Oryctolagus cuniculus: one gene and its partner. The protein of the gene in region 1 purifies or fractionates together with the protein of each later gene. This does not show direct contact. Links are inferred from orthologs where the notes say so. Each region holds a gene or a part of one and is shown in the gene's direction. Other genes may lie near its edges.

Evidence for each region. The genes of interacting proteins can lie anywhere in the genome.
Region 2: the proteins of APOB (region 1) and VCP purify together in Homo sapiens (affinity purification with western blotting, with the first as the bait; 3 studies listed by BioGRID). This does not show direct contact. The link is inferred for Oryctolagus cuniculus from reciprocal best matches to the Homo sapiens genes APOB and VCP.

What each region holds. Positions count from the first base shown.
Region 1 is NC_091433.1:181,595,692-181,603,731, forward strand, and holds part of APOB (apolipoprotein B), read left to right. Parts: intron 1-611; coding exon 612-697; intron 698-1,818; coding exon 1,819-2,038; intron 2,039-2,754; coding exon 2,755-2,982; intron 2,983-3,194; coding exon 3,195-3,312; intron 3,313-3,413; coding exon 3,414-3,560; intron 3,561-4,257; coding exon 4,258-4,469; intron 4,470-5,090; coding exon 5,091-5,328; intron 5,329-5,869; coding exon 5,870-6,046; intron 6,047-7,804; coding exon 7,805-7,996; intron 7,997-8,040. UniProt on the Homo sapiens protein: Apolipoprotein B is a major protein constituent of chylomicrons (apo B-48), LDL (apo B-100) and VLDL (apo B-100). Apo B-100 functions as a recognition signal for the cellular binding and internalization of LDL particles by the apoB/E receptor.
Region 2 is NC_091432.1:198,019,390-198,027,429, reverse strand, and holds the end of VCP (transitional endoplasmic reticulum ATPase), read left to right. Parts: intron 1-314; coding exon 315-417; intron 418-1,655; coding exon 1,656-1,789; intron 1,790-1,866; coding exon 1,867-2,002; intron 2,003-2,346; coding exon 2,347-2,459; intron 2,460-2,866; coding exon 2,867-3,031; intron 3,032-3,122; coding exon 3,123-3,245; intron 3,246-3,526; coding exon 3,527-3,739; intron 3,740-3,942; coding exon 3,943-4,251; intron 4,252-4,494; coding exon 4,495-4,650; intron 4,651-5,934; coding exon 5,935-6,089; intron 6,090-6,239; coding exon 6,240-6,345; 3' UTR 6,346-7,382; downstream 7,383-8,040. UniProt on the Homo sapiens protein: Necessary for the fragmentation of Golgi stacks during mitosis and for their reassembly after mitosis. Involved in the formation of the transitional endoplasmic reticulum (tER).

The sequences.
Region 1 (8,040 bases):
TCAGGCTAGGCTGTGCCTGGAAGGGAGCTACGGTCAGGTACAAAGCAGACACCATCCTTATCCTCCTTTTCAAGCTGACAGGCAATAAGGTAGAAAAGCCTTAGACATGCAAACAACTTAAGAACAATGAAAGATAATCTCAGACCCAGACTTGAAGGGCTGTAGGTCCAGAAAAGCTGGATGTCATTGCAGGGGGCCTAGATTAGGAAAGGCGTGAGGAAGGATTTGGGATTTTAACTGGAGACTTGTATATCCAAATCCATCATGAAGACAACAGTCAACTGGAATTTACTTAGTAACTGCTATATCTGTGTGCTGTGCTGTGGGAGATACAAAGAATTCTGTGGCACAGAGTTAGCCTCTACCCTTGGGCCCTGCAGACTGGTAGACGGTATAAGGTACAAATACTGTGGTGGAGGGACAACTAATGTGACCAGGAGGGGGGAGGGGCTACTTGTCCGGGGGTCAAGGGTAGCTGGATCTAAAAATGCTTCAAAAGGTAGACAGGATATGGATAGGCACAGGGATGAGGGCAACAGTACACACGGAACGGGAGAATGTTCTGGGGAGCTGGCCGTCCATGACTCAAGGTCCTTCCCCCCTTTAACCAGGAATAAGTATGGGATGATGGGTCACGTGACACAGTCTTTGAAACTTGAAGAAACACCCAAGGTCAACAGCCGCTTCTTTACTGAAGGTGAGACTCCGTCCGCGTGGTTGCTGGGAAGTCTGCAGATGTGCCAGCCACGGCTTTGCTCTTTTCTGGGCCCTGGTGAATGTCTGCTGACTCATGAGTGAGGTGCACTCTGGCACTGAGGCTGGGAAACCACTTCCAGTGAGAAAGCACATTCCTTTCAGAAGCTCAAAGGGCAGTGGCATAAAGAAAAGGAAGACGTTTCCAAAGCTACCTAGGTTCCTTTACGGTCCCAAGTGTAAGGCTGCACTTAGGGTAGAACTGACTTTCTCATCCACCCTGTAGAAGGCCTGGGGCTGGTCTGCAGGAGGTGGGGCAGGTGGGAGAGGATCTTCAGGGTCAAGCCACATAGTGGTCTCAGGACTTGATCTTTAGTACTAGAGATCTCTAGTCCAACCGTAACCCCACAGTGTAGGGTATCTAAATCTACCAAACTCTCTCTTATATGCTATCTCACTGATTTCCTTGTCCACAGGAAAGTGTGAGACATACGCTTTTATGCCCATCCTACAGAGGGCGATGTGACACAGAGAGGATTAGTAATGCACCCAAGGTCACAGAACATTAGAGGCAGTGCAAACTGAGTGCCAGGTCTAATCTAAGCCAGCACTCTGCTACACCCCACTTCCATGCTCCCATGTACCCCTCCCCCTGGCAAGGCCTCCCCGCCCCACAAGCTGCTGGTAGATCCAATTAGAAGAAATGGTGGATGAGTGCCAAGAAATTGAGCCTCAGCTGTCACTGTGTCACCTCAGCACCTCCCCTCTGGTTCTCCAACAAAGGGTAATCTGATACTAGATTCCGACAAAACTGGATTCAAGTCCACCTCTGCCTCTTAGACCCAGAGGGTTCTCAGAAAACCCAAGTTGCTCATCTCTGCATCTCAGTGCTCTAATCTTTAAGTTGGGGAAGAACATGAGCCCTTGGGGGTAGACGAGTGAGTGACCACAGTTCAGTCAGTCACCTGTCACTAAGCCAGGTATCTAGCAGGTGTTGAACACACCCAGGATAATCTCTTTTCCCCCTTGCTGACGCCTCCCCAGTTCCCAGTTTCTGGTGGATGAAGATGTGTTTGGACGATAGAAATAAGTGACCCTATTCCTTTGATGCCTTCCTTCTTCCAGGTACACAGAGGGTGGGTCTGGCCTTCGAGAACACCAAGTCCACATCACCACCAAAGCAGACTGAGCCCGTGCTGAAGACTCTCCAGGAACTGAGAGCGCTGTCCGTTTCTGAGCAGAACGCCCAGCGGGCAAACCTCTTCAATAAACTGGTTACCGAGCTGAGAGGCCTCAGCAGCGAGGCGGTTGCGTCCCTCCTGCCCCAGCTGATTGAGGTCTCCAGGTATGTCTTTAATGACTGCAGCTCAGTCTTTCATACAACCTATGGCAGCTGGCCAAACCTTCAACCCTCAACCAGAGAATCTCAGAGACCATCTAAATATCAATGCAATTAATCAACTGATCAATCAGTTACTGTTTGATAGATAGAGTGCTTGCAATTCCATGGGCAACGCACACGCACACTGCATTCTAGGCAACTGTGTAGATGTTAAGTTATAAGGTAAATCATTCCCACATTTTGATGAGCATCATCTAATTCCTGTTTCTATTGAGTGTACCCTGGAAAGTTTGAGAAGATAAGCCACCTGTGCCCTATGGAAGATTACAGGCCAATGGAGAGAGAACTCAAGCAAACAAACGTGATTTCTCTACATGTGAGGTCACTGGCTCACAGTGCTAGGAAGGTTATGAAGGTTATGAAGGGACAGAGGCCAGGAATGAGACCATGTCAACGTTTGCCAGGCATGTTCTGTGTCCTAACCAAAGGACAGTAATAAGAGTCTCTTCATTTGGCTACAGGTTCAGGGGTCCTTCTGCAGACTTTCCTCAACGGTGCTCCTACAGTGGGTGGTACCCCTAGGGAAGGAGTCAAGGTTCCTGGGTTCCAAGCTGGAGGTTGAAGGATGGCTTGATTTGGATAGAGAATGAGGGGAATAGGGCACTCCTGGCAGAGACACGCCATGGGTTCTACATAACTCTCTGTACTTCTCTTCTCAGCCCCATCACTTTGCAAGCCTTAGTTCAGTGCGGACAGCCCCAGTGTTACACTCACATCCTCCAGTGGCTGAAAAGTGTAGACGCCAACCCGCTGCTGATAGATGTTGTCACCTACTTGCTGGCCTTGATCCCAGAGCCCTCAGAACAGAGGCTACAGGAGATCTTCAGTGTGACCAAGGAACAGCAGAGCCGGGCTACCTTTTATGCGCTGAGCCATGTGGTCAACAGGTGAGTCTTCAGACTGTATTGCTCTGCCTAGGAGCAGAGAAAAACCCACAGCTCTGTATGAATGTGTGCCCCTCCCTCCACTTTCAAGCCCTGCTGCTCTCTCTCTTTTCTACAGATCATTTTGAAATGACTTGAAAGAAGAAATCAGTAGACAAGTCTGGAGGTTAATCAAACCTCACAGTGAGTTCTAATTCTCCTCTCTTATTCTGTAGCTATCACATGACAACCCGTAGGGTGACCCAGGGCCTGCAGGACATTGCTGACTACCTGGTGGAGCAGATTGGCACAGAGTGCAATGGAGATGAAGACCGCACCTACCTGATTCTCAGGGTACTTTCAGGCTTTTGTGTCAAATGCGCTATGTCACAGATGCTTTTCCCACACACCTCTTACTTATCCTACACCCTGATCAATTCTTTCCCCTAATGCAGGCCATCGGAAATATGGGCAGAACCATGGAGCAGGTAACACCAAGAGTGAAGAATTCTGTCCTGAAATGCATCAAAAGTACAAAGCCATCCCTGCTGATTCAGAAAGCCGCCATCCAGGCCCTGAGGAAGATGGAAATTACAGACGAGGTAAAATCCACAGAGAAGGTCTGAAAGTGAATGTTTGTTCAGATGAACAGGGATTTGGACGGCACAAGGGGAATGAGATTTTAAACTTCATCACTCTGGTGACTTTCTTCTAGTCTTTTCGAGTTGCATATTTCAACAAGTCTATTGACTTGAGTGCCAAGCACGTGTGGCATGCGAGCTCGCTGCTCCTGCAGCAAGTAGAACACAGAACTGCGCTGCCTGCCGGCCTCCTTTCATCACGGCCGTCTTGGGAAAACATGCTTAATTGTCCCAAGTGCCCCCAGACCAGGACAGTGAACCAGGCCCCTGCTTACACGGCAAGGACTCCAGAGCTTTGCAGACTGCCGCATTTATTAGCCCCTACTTCTCACTAACCCTTTCCACTCTGATCCTCACATTGAAAGAACAATGTTAAAACAACTTTATCTTCACTCAGTGGCAGATCTCATAGCAAGTCATAGTTAGTATGCCCTAACGCATCTGAATTCACATTTTTGATGGGAGTCTTCTGAGAGTCCTATCTTGAGCTGGTTGCTCTGGGGGAAAGTGTGAGAAGATTCAGTACCAGCATGTGAAGTTATTAGGAAGACACTAGACTTGCACAGAAGAAAGAGCTAGCAAGTCATGCCAGTGTTGGTCATACACAGTCTACACTCAACCAAAGGACACCCATAACAGTCTTCTCTCTGGGCTGCAGGTCCAGGGTGTCCTTCTTCAGACTTTCCTCAATGATACTTCTCCAGTGGACAAGCGACTGGCTGCCTATCTCATGCTGATCAGGGGAGCTTCCCAGTCAGCTATTAACCAAATTGCCCAACTTCTCCCCGGGGAACGGAATGAGCAGGTGAAGAACTTTGTGGCTTCCCACCTTGCCAACATCTTGAACTCAGAAGAACTGTACATCCAAGAGTAAGTAAGAGTAATCGCCCCATACCCATCTGCTTCTGAGGGCCCAGGGCTAGAATTCCAGGCCTCAATTCAGGTAGAGCTACTGCCTCCCCTTCATGGAGTGTGCTTTCTTCTGCAACAAACCCTTGTGCAAATGTGCAGCAGAGCCTAAGCCAAAGATCTAGGAGAATGCTACCCATATATTAAAATTGCAACTAGAGGGGCACTAGGTTAACCCTCTGCCTGCAGCGTCAGCATCCCATATGGGCGCCGGTTCTAGTCCCGGTTGCTCCTCTTCCAGTCCAGCTCTCTGCTGTGGCCTGCGAAAGCACTAAAAGATGGCCCAATGCTTGGGCCCCTATACCCGCATGGGAGACCAGGAAGAAGCACCTGGCTCCTGGCTTCAGATCAGCGCAGCTCCGGCCATTGCGGCCATTTGGGAAGTGAACCAATGGAAGGAAGACCTTTCTCTCTGTCTCTCTCTCACACTGTCTGTAACTCTAGCTGTCAAATAAATAAATAAAATCTTTTAAAAATTTTTTAAAAATTGCAACTAGAAATCCATACTTTCTTGTGGTATAAGAGACAGTGGGTAAGTCACATAGTGTGTGGGCTCAAAATATGTTTCTTCTTTCCATACAGTCTGAAAAATGTAGTGAAAGAAGCTCTAAGAGAATCTCAACTTCCAACTGTCATGGACTTCAGAAAATTTTCCCGGAACTATCAACTTTCCAAATCTGTTTCACTCCCATCACTTGACCCAGTCTCAGCCAAAATCGAAGGGAATATGATTTTTGATCCAAATAATTACCTTCCTAAAGAAAGCATGCTGAAAACGACCCTTACTGTCTTTGGATTTGCTCCAGCTGACCTTTTCGAGGTATGCATGAGACTGAAGCAGAGTCATAAGTTCTCTAGTCCATTCTGAATGACACCATAAGAAGAAAGCTAAGGGAGCCACAATCCAGCCTGGGCAGGAGCAGGAACCATCAGGCAGTCTGTACCGCCCCTTTGAGGCTCATCTACCTCTCCCCTCACAAGGGGTCCTCTGAAGCAATTCTTAGTGATAATGGAAATGCAGATATGCCAGAGAAGCCCTGCAATCCAAAATCCATGGAAATCCATGGACTGTGTAGTCATATCTGGTTCAAACACCAAATCCACTCTCAACTCTGAATCCCTGGTTCAATTATTTATCCTCTCTGAACTTCTGCCACCTCTTCTAGAAAAAGGTGAATGCATCCTAAGATTCTAGTGGGATTTAAATAAGACACCTGATGTGAAGTGTTAAGCTCAGCTCCTGCCCCATGGTAGTGATCAAACACTGGTATAATTAAATGGACATAGAGGGGACTAGGAGACCAACATATAACAGCAATAAAACCCAATGGGTTTTTCTTGCCTGATTTTTTTTTTATCAGATTGGCTTAGAAGGAAAAGGATTTGAGCCAACGCTGGAAGCTCTTTTTGGAAAGCAAGGATTTTTCCCAGACAGTGTCAATAAGGCTTTGTATTGGGTTGATGGTCAAGTTCCTGATTATGTTTCCAAAGTCTTGATGGACCACTTTGGCTACACCAAGGGAGATAAGCGTGAACAGGTAGGTATTTGCTGAGTAGCCCCCCCAAGGAAAATGTTTGAGTCTCAATGCCAAAACTTTATGTTCTAAGCCTGGGAGTCACACAGGTTCTGTGTGACGGAAGTGATCCTCACTAACCAGTCCTGTGTGGGTGAGGGGTAAAAACCAGTGTCCCCTGCAGCTCAGAGCCCTCGAAAGCGTCCCAGGCACCAGACTCACCAGAGGCACTCTAGCACAGTGACGCGCTTGTCAATTCTGAGCATGGGTTCGAATTCCAGCCTCACTATCTTCAAGCCTTGTACACCTGCTTGATGTTAGGTGTGTCTGTTTCTGCATCCCCAGAGAACTACTTATAATCCATAGGGACTAAGGGGCTATTGAACAACTAAGGGACATAAGGTTTTTAAAGATTAAGTGAAATAAGATATTTAATATGCTAAGCATAGGCCGGCACTGTGGCTCAATAGGCTAATCCTCTGCCTTGCGGCACCGGCACACCGGGTTCTAGTCCTGGTCGGGGCGCCGGATGCTGTCCCGGTTGCCCCTCTTCCAGGCCAGCTCTCTGCTATGGCCCGGGAGTGCAGTGGAGGATGGCCCAAGTGCTTGGGCCCTGCACCCCATGGGAGACCAGGAGAAGCACCTGGCTCCTGGCTTCGGATCAGTGCGATGCACCGGCCACAGTGCACCGGCTGCGGCAGCCATTGGAGGGTGAACCAACGGCAAAAGGAAGACCTTTCTCTCTGTCTCTCTCTCTCTCTCACTGTCCACTCTGCCTGTCAAAAATTAAAAAAATAAAAATTAAAAAATTAAAAAATGCTAAGCATAGTACCTGAGCCTGATAAGCAGATCTAAGTTTTAGATTAATATTTTCAATATTGTTACCTGCTTTCTTTGGCTCTTAATCATATCAGTGTACTAGCTGGTTCAAATGGTTCAAAAGAGCCACTTTAGAGCTAGCAATGACACCCCTCCCTTTAAGGAGTAGAACATGGGTTGTATGTTCAGAAGTTTCTTATTCTTTAATTCATTGCCAGTCAAAGTGTGGTCCGGTGATGAGCACTGTATGAGGACTCATCGGAAATGCAGGCCTCACTCAGGATCTGCTAAATCCACAGCTACATTTCAGTGAGACCTTGAGTGACAGGGGTGCACATTCACGTGAGAAGTGAGAGTAGTTACTCCCATGCTCACCGATGGCTTCACTTCCTTCTTCTAATTTACTGACCTCTGCTGTAGGCTGAAGTTCTCTGACGCTGTTTTGAACCTGTCAGTCTGTCTTTACTTTCTCTGCACCTGGGCATCAGTCTGGGAATTCTTGTCTATAAGAAACACTTATCTAGGATCAGATGTTTGTCAAGCTTTGGCTCACATTTACATAACAGCCACATTTTCTCAAAAAACATGCAGTAGTTTTCCCTAGTCAAAGGGGAAAGAGCTAGGTAGGGGAGAGGGTGGATTCAGGGGCCTTCTTCCACTGCAGAGCCCCAGGGAGCCTGGCACCTGGAGAAATGGGATTCCCCTCACTTCCGCTGCACTTTTTCATGTTAATAACTTTGGAAGCACCACTGTCCCTGATAATACCTCACTCTTTCTCATGTCTGTTCAGAGGAACTCTCTTTCAGTCAAAGTTGGGTGCCTGATTTGCATGTCTGCCCTGTGTCCCCACTTTGAGTGTTTGTGTTCAGGCCCATCAAGGCTAGAGCAGACAGGCCCTGCATCAGGAGGATGGAGGGGTCTGGACCATGCTGACAGCTCACTGGACACTTTGTCATTAAACAGGACATGGTAAATGGAATGATGCTCAGTGCTGACAAGCTGATCAAAGACTTAAAATCCAAAGAGATCCCAGAAGCCAGAGCCTACCTGCGCATCCTGGGAGAGGAGCTTGGCTTTGTCAGGCTCCGAGACCTCCAGCTCCTAGGAAAGATGCTGCTGAGTGGTGCTCACACGCTGCAGGGGATCCCCAGGCTGGTAAGTGGATCAGCCCCAGCAGAGGGTCCCTGAGACTAGCTGGA
Region 2 (8,040 bases), on another chromosome or scaffold:
CCAATCGGAAGCCAGGAGCTTCCTCCGGGTCTCCCATGCAGGTGCAGGGGCCCAACGACTTGGGCCGTTTTCCACTGCTATCCCAGGCCACAGCAGAGAGCTGGATCAGAAGTGGATCAGCTGGGACTTGAACCGGCACCCATATGGGATGCTGGCACTGCAGGCCAGGGCGTTAACCTGCTGCGCCACAGTGCCGGCTCCCAGAATTGAATTCTAATTCTCACCCTTTCTAGAGTCCTAGTCAAGCCAGTTTGAGGTGAGTGGCGTTGAGAAGTCAGGAGTCTAATTCTAATTGCTCTTATGTTGGTCCCCAGCCTCCTCGGGGAATCCTGCTCTATGGACCTCCTGGAACAGGGAAGACCCTGATTGCCCGAGCTGTGGCAAATGAAACTGGGGCCTTCTTCTTCCTGATCAATGGTAAGAGATTTGATTTGTCTTGTGTCTGTCTAGAACTAGCCCTGGCCTGAACAGCTCATTGATAACATCCATTTGCAGCCATGCTCTCATGCACACTTTAGCATCTTTTGCTGGGGTACATTATAGACAGGTCAGCAACAAGTGGGAGATTTTTTTTTTTTTTTTTTTTTTGACAGGCAGAGTGGACAGTGAGAGAGAGAGACAGAGAGAAAGGTCTTCCTTTTGCCGCTGGTTCACCCTCCAATGGCCGCCGCGGCCGGCACGCTGTGGCTGGCGCACTGCACTGATCCGATGGCAGGAGCCAGGTGCTTCTGGTCTCCCATGGGGTGCAGGGCCCAAGCACTTGGGCCATCCTCCACTGCACTCCCTGGCCACAGCAGAGAGCTGGCCTGGAAGAGGGGCAACCGGGACAGAATCCGGCGCCCCGACTGGGACTAGAACCCGGTGTGCCAGCGCCGCAGGCGGAGGATTAGCCTAGTGAGCCGTGGCGCCGGCCAAGTGGGAGATATTTTATACTGATACTTTTTGTCTTTTCCCCTCAACCTAGAAAAAGTTGTGTACATTTTTGTAAGGAATATTTATGTATTTAAAAGAGTTACAGAGAGAGGGAGAGACAGAGATCTTCCATCCGCTGGTTTACTCCCCAAATGACCACAAGGGCCCAGTCTGAGCCAGGCTGAAGCCAGGAGTCAGGAACTTCATCTGGGTCTCCTATGTGGGTGGCATTTAGGCCATCTTCCACTGCTTTTCTAGGCCTTTAGCAGGGAGCTAGATTGGCAGTAGAGCTGCTGAGACGTGAACTGGTTCCCATATGGGATGCTTGTGTGGCATGGTGATAGCTTTACCTGCTACTCCACAATGCCAGCCCCAAGATATTTAAGGGGGAGCAAGTTGGAATTAAAAAAAAAAATAAAATAAAGGTATGATGCCTATTTGAGAGGCTTAGGGAAGATGGGCCAACACCACCTGTCTCTTAGAGAATGTTAAGCTGTAGAGATCCAGCTTGTGTGATGTCTCCTGCTCTTGCCAGAGACCTTTACACTTTGAAAAAAATGTGCTTGGTTTCTCTACCCCAGCTTTGTGGCTGTCCTGGGTGATAGCTGGCATTGGTGAGAAGGTAGACGGAAGTTAGTATCTTCTCATCCAGGACCTATCCTAGGGCAGATAAGGTAACTGATTTATTTTGGGACTGGGAAAGGTTGTAATTTTATCATTGTCTTCATTTTGTTTTCTTTCAGGTCCTGAGATCATGAGCAAGTTGGCTGGTGAGTCTGAGAGCAATCTTCGTAAAGCCTTTGAGGAAGCGGAGAAGAATGCTCCTGCCATCATCTTCATTGATGAACTGGATGCCATTGCTCCCAAAAGAGAGAAAGTAGGAGTTTACCCGAGGGAATGGTGGGAGGTTGAAAGGTCCTAACATTGCTTCTGACCAGACATTTGTCCTGCCAGACTCACGGGGAGGTGGAGCGGCGTATTGTATCACAATTGTTGACCCTTATGGATGGACTAAAGCAGAGGGCACACGTGATAGTTATGGCAGCAACCAACAGACCCAACAGCATTGACCCGGCACTGCGACGGTTTGGTAAGGACTCCAGCTTCCTTCACCCTTTCCTTGCTCATAGAGAGATTATAGATCTATTGAGTTTAATCTCTATCCTTCATCTGAGTCACCTGATTTGATTATGAGGATTCCTTGAAGTTTTTTTGCAGTGGTAGGGCACAAGGGTCCTTGTATCCTGTATCCTGTCTAGAGTGACCAGCCATCCTGATTGGCTTGAGACTGAGGGGTTTCCAGAGACATAGGACTTTCAGTGCTAATGCCAGTACAGTTCTGAGTTAACTGAGATGATCAGTCACTTTAGGCTTCTTCCTTTTTCCCTCTGGTCCAGAAATGAGCCCTGTCTATGTTCACACACTGTCCCACAGGTCGCTTTGACAGGGAGGTAGATATTGGAATCCCTGATGCTACAGGACGCTTGGAAATTCTTCAGATCCATACCAAGAACATGAAGCTGGCAGATGATGTGGACCTGGAACAGGTGGAGTGGTGATGAGAGCTGACCAGGAGTTAGGATATCTCTTTTCCTAGGCAGTTTGTAGGGAACTGGCTAGGGACATAAACTTAAGCTGTTACTAGATTCGTTTTGATTCATGGGTAAGGGAAAGGAAATGAGCTCAGATTGAGTTCAGGAAATCAGAGCTGGCATGTGTCTCAGTTGATAATATGTTAAAAGTAAACCTGAGTTGTTGGGCAAGTTTTATTTCTAGGCCTCAAGTCCCAGACTTGAGTATTTAAACCCTAGCCAGTGAAGGGTCTGCTAGTTAAGGAAATGGGATGACCCAGATATAGAAATCAGGGGAAGGGGCCAACATTCTGTTGTCTTCAAGCTTCCTGAAGGCAGCTCTGTCTTTGAGATGGCATAGTAAGTAGATCTTCTCTCTGCAGGTAGCCAATGAGACTCATGGGCACGTGGGTGCTGATTTAGCAGCCCTGTGCTCGGAGGCTGCTCTGCAGGCCATCCGCAAGAAGATGGATCTCATTGACCTAGAGGATGAGACCATTGATGCTGAGGTCATGAACTCCCTGGCAGTTACTATGGATGACTTCCGGGTAAGGGCCATACCTCTACCTCTGGTACAGTCGTATATACATTGACCCCTCCCCTGGTTAAGTCTCATTTCCATTTTTCCTCCCTTTTTAGTGGGCCTTAAGTCAGAGCAACCCATCAGCACTGCGGGAAACTGTGGTAGAGGTACCACAAGTAACCTGGGAAGACATCGGGGGCCTGGAGGATGTCAAACGTGAACTTCAGGAACTGGTCCAGGTAGGTTGACTTGGTCCAGGGTGAATCACTGCTTCAGTTCATTGAAGTTCATTCTCTCCTGGGTGGTCTCAGGGAGTCAGCACGTTGAAGAGTTGTGGCCACAACCGAGAGACCTGCCATTCTCTTAGAATTTGAGGCACTAGGAAGTCTTTCTGCTTCTAGAGAACCTGGATTTTACATGGTGGAGTACACCATGAAGTGGTGGGAAAGATGCTTCTGTTTGGTTAGATTTCTTTAAAAATATGAAGATAGCCTTGAATCTTTTTCTCATTTCCTTCTAGTATCCTGTGGAGCATCCAGACAAATTCCTCAAGTTTGGCATGACACCCTCCAAGGGAGTTCTATTCTATGGACCTCCTGGATGTGGGAAAACTCTGCTGGCCAAAGCCATTGCTAATGAATGTCAGGCCAACTTCATCTCCATCAAGGGTCCTGAGCTGCTTACTATGTGGTTTGGGGAGTCTGAAGCCAATGTTAGGGAAATCTTTGACAAGGTGAGCTATAGAAGGGAGAGAGGGAAGGAGGGCTATCTGTTCCCTTGCTTGGGGCAAGGTAGGGATAGAGGCTGTTTTCTTTAAGAGAATCAAACCATCTTACTGCTGGTTACCCAGGTGGGGCAGTGAAGTTCACTGCATTTTCCTTCTAAGATTTGAGACCCAGTTATGTTCCTGGTTGAGTTAGTCTGTCCGTCCTACAGGCCCGCCAAGCTGCTCCCTGTGTGCTATTCTTTGATGAGCTGGATTCAATTGCCAAGGCTCGTGGTGGTAACATTGGAGATGGTGGTGGGGCTGCTGACCGAGTCATCAACCAGATCCTGACAGAAATGGATGGCATGTCCACAAAAAAGAATGTGTTCATCATTGGCGCTACCAACCGGCCTGATATCATTGATCCTGCCATCTTGAGACCTGGACGTCTTGATCAGCTCATCTACATCCCACTTCCTGATGAGAAGTCCCGTGTTGCCATCCTCAAAGCTAACCTGCGCAAGTCTCCTGTTGCCAAGGCAGGTGCAGGGTCACAGGCCATGGGGATTACTATGAGTCCTTAGATAAAATTCATTGGGGATTTCTGAGGATGGGATTGGTCTAAAGGAAAGTGGAAGGTCTGAAGGATTATGTTATTTGAAGGAAAAATGGAGTGGCAGAAGCTGGGGCAAACTGAAGTTGGGAGTGCTTGGGTAGCCTCAAAAATTGTATATTCCAGGGAAGGAAAACCTAAATGTTGATAGCTCCTTTGCTTCTTTTAGGATGTGGATTTGGAGTTCCTGGCTAAGATGACCAATGGCTTCTCTGGAGCTGACTTAACAGAGATTTGCCAACGTGCTTGCAAACTGGCCATCCGTGAATCCATTGAAAGTGAGATCAGGCGAGAACGGGAGAGGCAAACAAACCCATCAGCCATGGTGAGTGAGTCTGCATCTTTTCCCCAGCTGTCTCAATCCTGAGGAGTCAGGGAACAGTCTCCACCATGCCCTAGAGTTGAGAATGCATGGTATTGGAAGGATGCTCTGACTAAGATGTTTATCAGGACACCAAAGAGAACACTGAAGTGAGCCTGTTTGGTCTGGAATAAGGCTGAGAAGAGATGGGCGGGCTATATGCTCAGTCTAAACTAGGTCCTGGAGGGAAATTAAAGTGTGGTTGTGTAGCAAAAAAAGGGAAAGAGCTTCAAACCCAGAATCTAATCCTAGGATCTATAGATCTCTCCTTGGTGGTTGGGGAAGGCAGCCATAGAACCCCCAAAATGAAATACAGGTTTGTATGTGTGTATGTGCAAGCTCTGTGATGGTAAGGACTCTTACCATCTCACTTGATTCCCACTGTATCCTGGCATTATATTTAGGACTTAATGAGTGACTTTCTTTGTCTTTTGGAAGGGGTCTGTGACATTTTTCCCTTCCTTAGGAGCTTAAAATCTGATGTCATAATCCTAGGAAGCTATTTCATAATTCAAAGCAATTGGGGTAGCCTCAGTGGAATAGAAAGGGTTTGACAAAGGGAAAAGCAGCCCACATAATTTTCTCTAGTACTAGAATTGCAGGAATTTTTTAAGATTTATTTTTATTCAAGAGGCAGAGTTAACAGAGAAAGGGAGAGACAGAGAGATCTTCCATCTTCTGGTTTACTTCCCAAATAGCCGCAACAACTGGAGCTGGGGCCAGGCTAAAGCCAGGAACTTATCTGGGTCTCCCATGTGGGTGCATTTGGGTCATCTTCCACTGCTTTCCCAGGGGCATTAGCAGGGAGCTGGATCAGAAGAGGAGCAGCGGGGACTTGAACTGGCACTCATGGGGTGCTGGTATGGCAGACAGGTGATGGCATAACCCTCTGATGCTGACATCAGTTTTCATGCTTTTTGATAGAAATATGTAAAGTCTGTGGCTATTACCATAGTTGAGATAAAGAAATTTCTGTTCCATAAAGTGTCCTCAGGCCACTTGAGACAGCATCTTCTCTAAGCCCCTGGCAACCACTGATATGATTTTCATCTGTATAGTTTGCCCTTTGCGAGAATGCACTGATGAATTTTTAAGCAGAGCAGTGACTCAGTCTTAGGAAGTTTAGGTTGGATTTGGAGGGGCAGGCAAACCAGTAAACTCCCACAATAATGAGAGGCAGGGAGGCCAGGAATGGAGTCCAGGCTAATCCTTAACTACTCTGGTGGTCTGTGTTTACCAACACTATAGGAAGTAGAAGAGGATGATCCAGTGCCAGAGATTCGCCGAGATCACTTTGAGGAAGCCATGCGCTTTGCCCGCCGTTCTGTCAGTGACAATGACATTCGGAAGTATGAGATGTTTGCCCAGACCCTTCAGCAGAGTCGAGGATTTGGCAGCTTCAGGTAACTGAGGGCAGTGAGCAGTGGTTAAATTGCCTTGGGGACCTACACAAACAAGGTGTTGGGAGTCCCTAAGGAGGCTAGATGGGTAGTTCTGAAAATCCTGTGCAGGCCTGTTCTAACTTTCATTTTTGATTCTGCTCTTGTACACAGATTCCCTTCAGGGAACCAGGGTGGAGCTGGCCCCAGTCAGGGCAGTGGAGGCGGCACAGGCGGCAGTGTGTATACAGAAGACAATGATGATGACCTGTATGGCTAAGTGATGTTGGCCAGCATGCAGCGAGCTGGCCTGGCTGGACCTTGTTCCCAGGGGGTGGGGGCGCTTGCCCAGGAGGGACCAGGGGTGCGCCCACGGCCTGCTTCATTCTTCAGTCTGAACAGTTCAGCTACAGTCAGACTCTGGACAGGGGGTTTCTGTTGCAAAAAATACAAAAGCGATAAAAATAAAAGCAATTTTCATTTGGGAGGCGGAGAGTGAATTACCAACAGGGAATTGGGCCTTGGGCCTACGCCATTTCTGTTATAGTTTGAGGCAGTGCAGGGGATCTGTGTGGGATGTGAACCCAGGCACTAGCGCCACCCCCACAGGAAAGCATCTGCACTTCACTCAATGCTGCCCAAGCCCTCCCTTCCCCCTATCCAACCTGGGTAGGTGGGTGAGGGGCCACAGTTGCTGAGTGTTTATATAGAGAGTAGGTTGATTTTTATTTTACATGCTTTTGAGTTATTGTTGGAAAACTAATCACAAGCAGTTTCTAAACCAAAAAATGACATGTTGTAAAAGGATAATAAATGTTGGGTCAAAATGGAGCCTGAATCCTGGCCCCTGTGCCTGCTTCTTTTCCTGGGACGGGCCTTGGGCTACCTCTCACTGCCAAGGCACAATTCCAATGTGAAGTCCTGGAAGTAAGTCGCACCCCCCTCCCTTCCTGATTAACATCAGTGTATTTTCTCCTGCTGTTTCACCCTGCATCTGTGCCATCACTGAGTAGGACTGCAGTGGAGTAGGGGCAGGGAGCCTGATGGAGCTTCAAATGTGGAGAATGTGGTACCCCTTCACCTATGTTTGATGTGGACAATAAGGCTAGACCTGAGGAGCACCCTAATCTTGACCAAACACTGGATTGGGGTGCCCCCTGAAAAATCTTAGGGTTGCTAAAAGATAACAATCTGTCTTCAGGTGTAAACATCTAAGAACCCCAAACATTCATTCCCTGGTTGAGGATCACGTACGATTATGTCCCACTTTATGTAATTAGTATTATTAAAAAGAAACAGCTTTTTGCTATTACAAAATTCTAGAAGTGGATGTGTTTTTTCTGAAGTAACACCCTCTGTTCACAGCCTGTTCAGGTGATTGTTTGCATAATTTACTCAGTGGGTTTAGAGTATCTTCTTTATTCAACAGGTACCAAAGTAATCACTACTTGCTTCTGGGGTCAAATACAAGATGCCTTACCCAAAGCGTGGTGCAGTGAAAATTGTCCACTGAGTAAAATTATTGGTCATAGTACATACAGTAGGCAGAAAATATCAGGCCGTGGTCTAGTCTATATGGTTAGGTAATCCACAAGGACAGAAGATAACAATGGTTGATTAAACTGGGGCTTCTCTGGAACTCATGTGCTGTGAACATAGCACTTTTGGATTCAAATTGTCCCTTGTTTCTTACCAGGCTCTGTTTTGGATAATCCTTTGGTCCTATGCTTTAGATGTTCATGATGGCCTTTTCCTACTTGGAATTTTGTTGTTCTTTGTCATCCCTGTGAGTTGACAGCCTAACTTCAGTGAGGATCACAGACAAGGTTATTTGGGGAAAGACTTTTTATACCTTTCCATCAAGGCTGTGGGGATATAACAGAAGGCAAATGTCATTTTCCTCCCAGATATGTATGTAGACAGAGGTTTTTTTTTTTTTTTTAAGATTTTGTATTTATTTGAGAGGTAGAGTGAC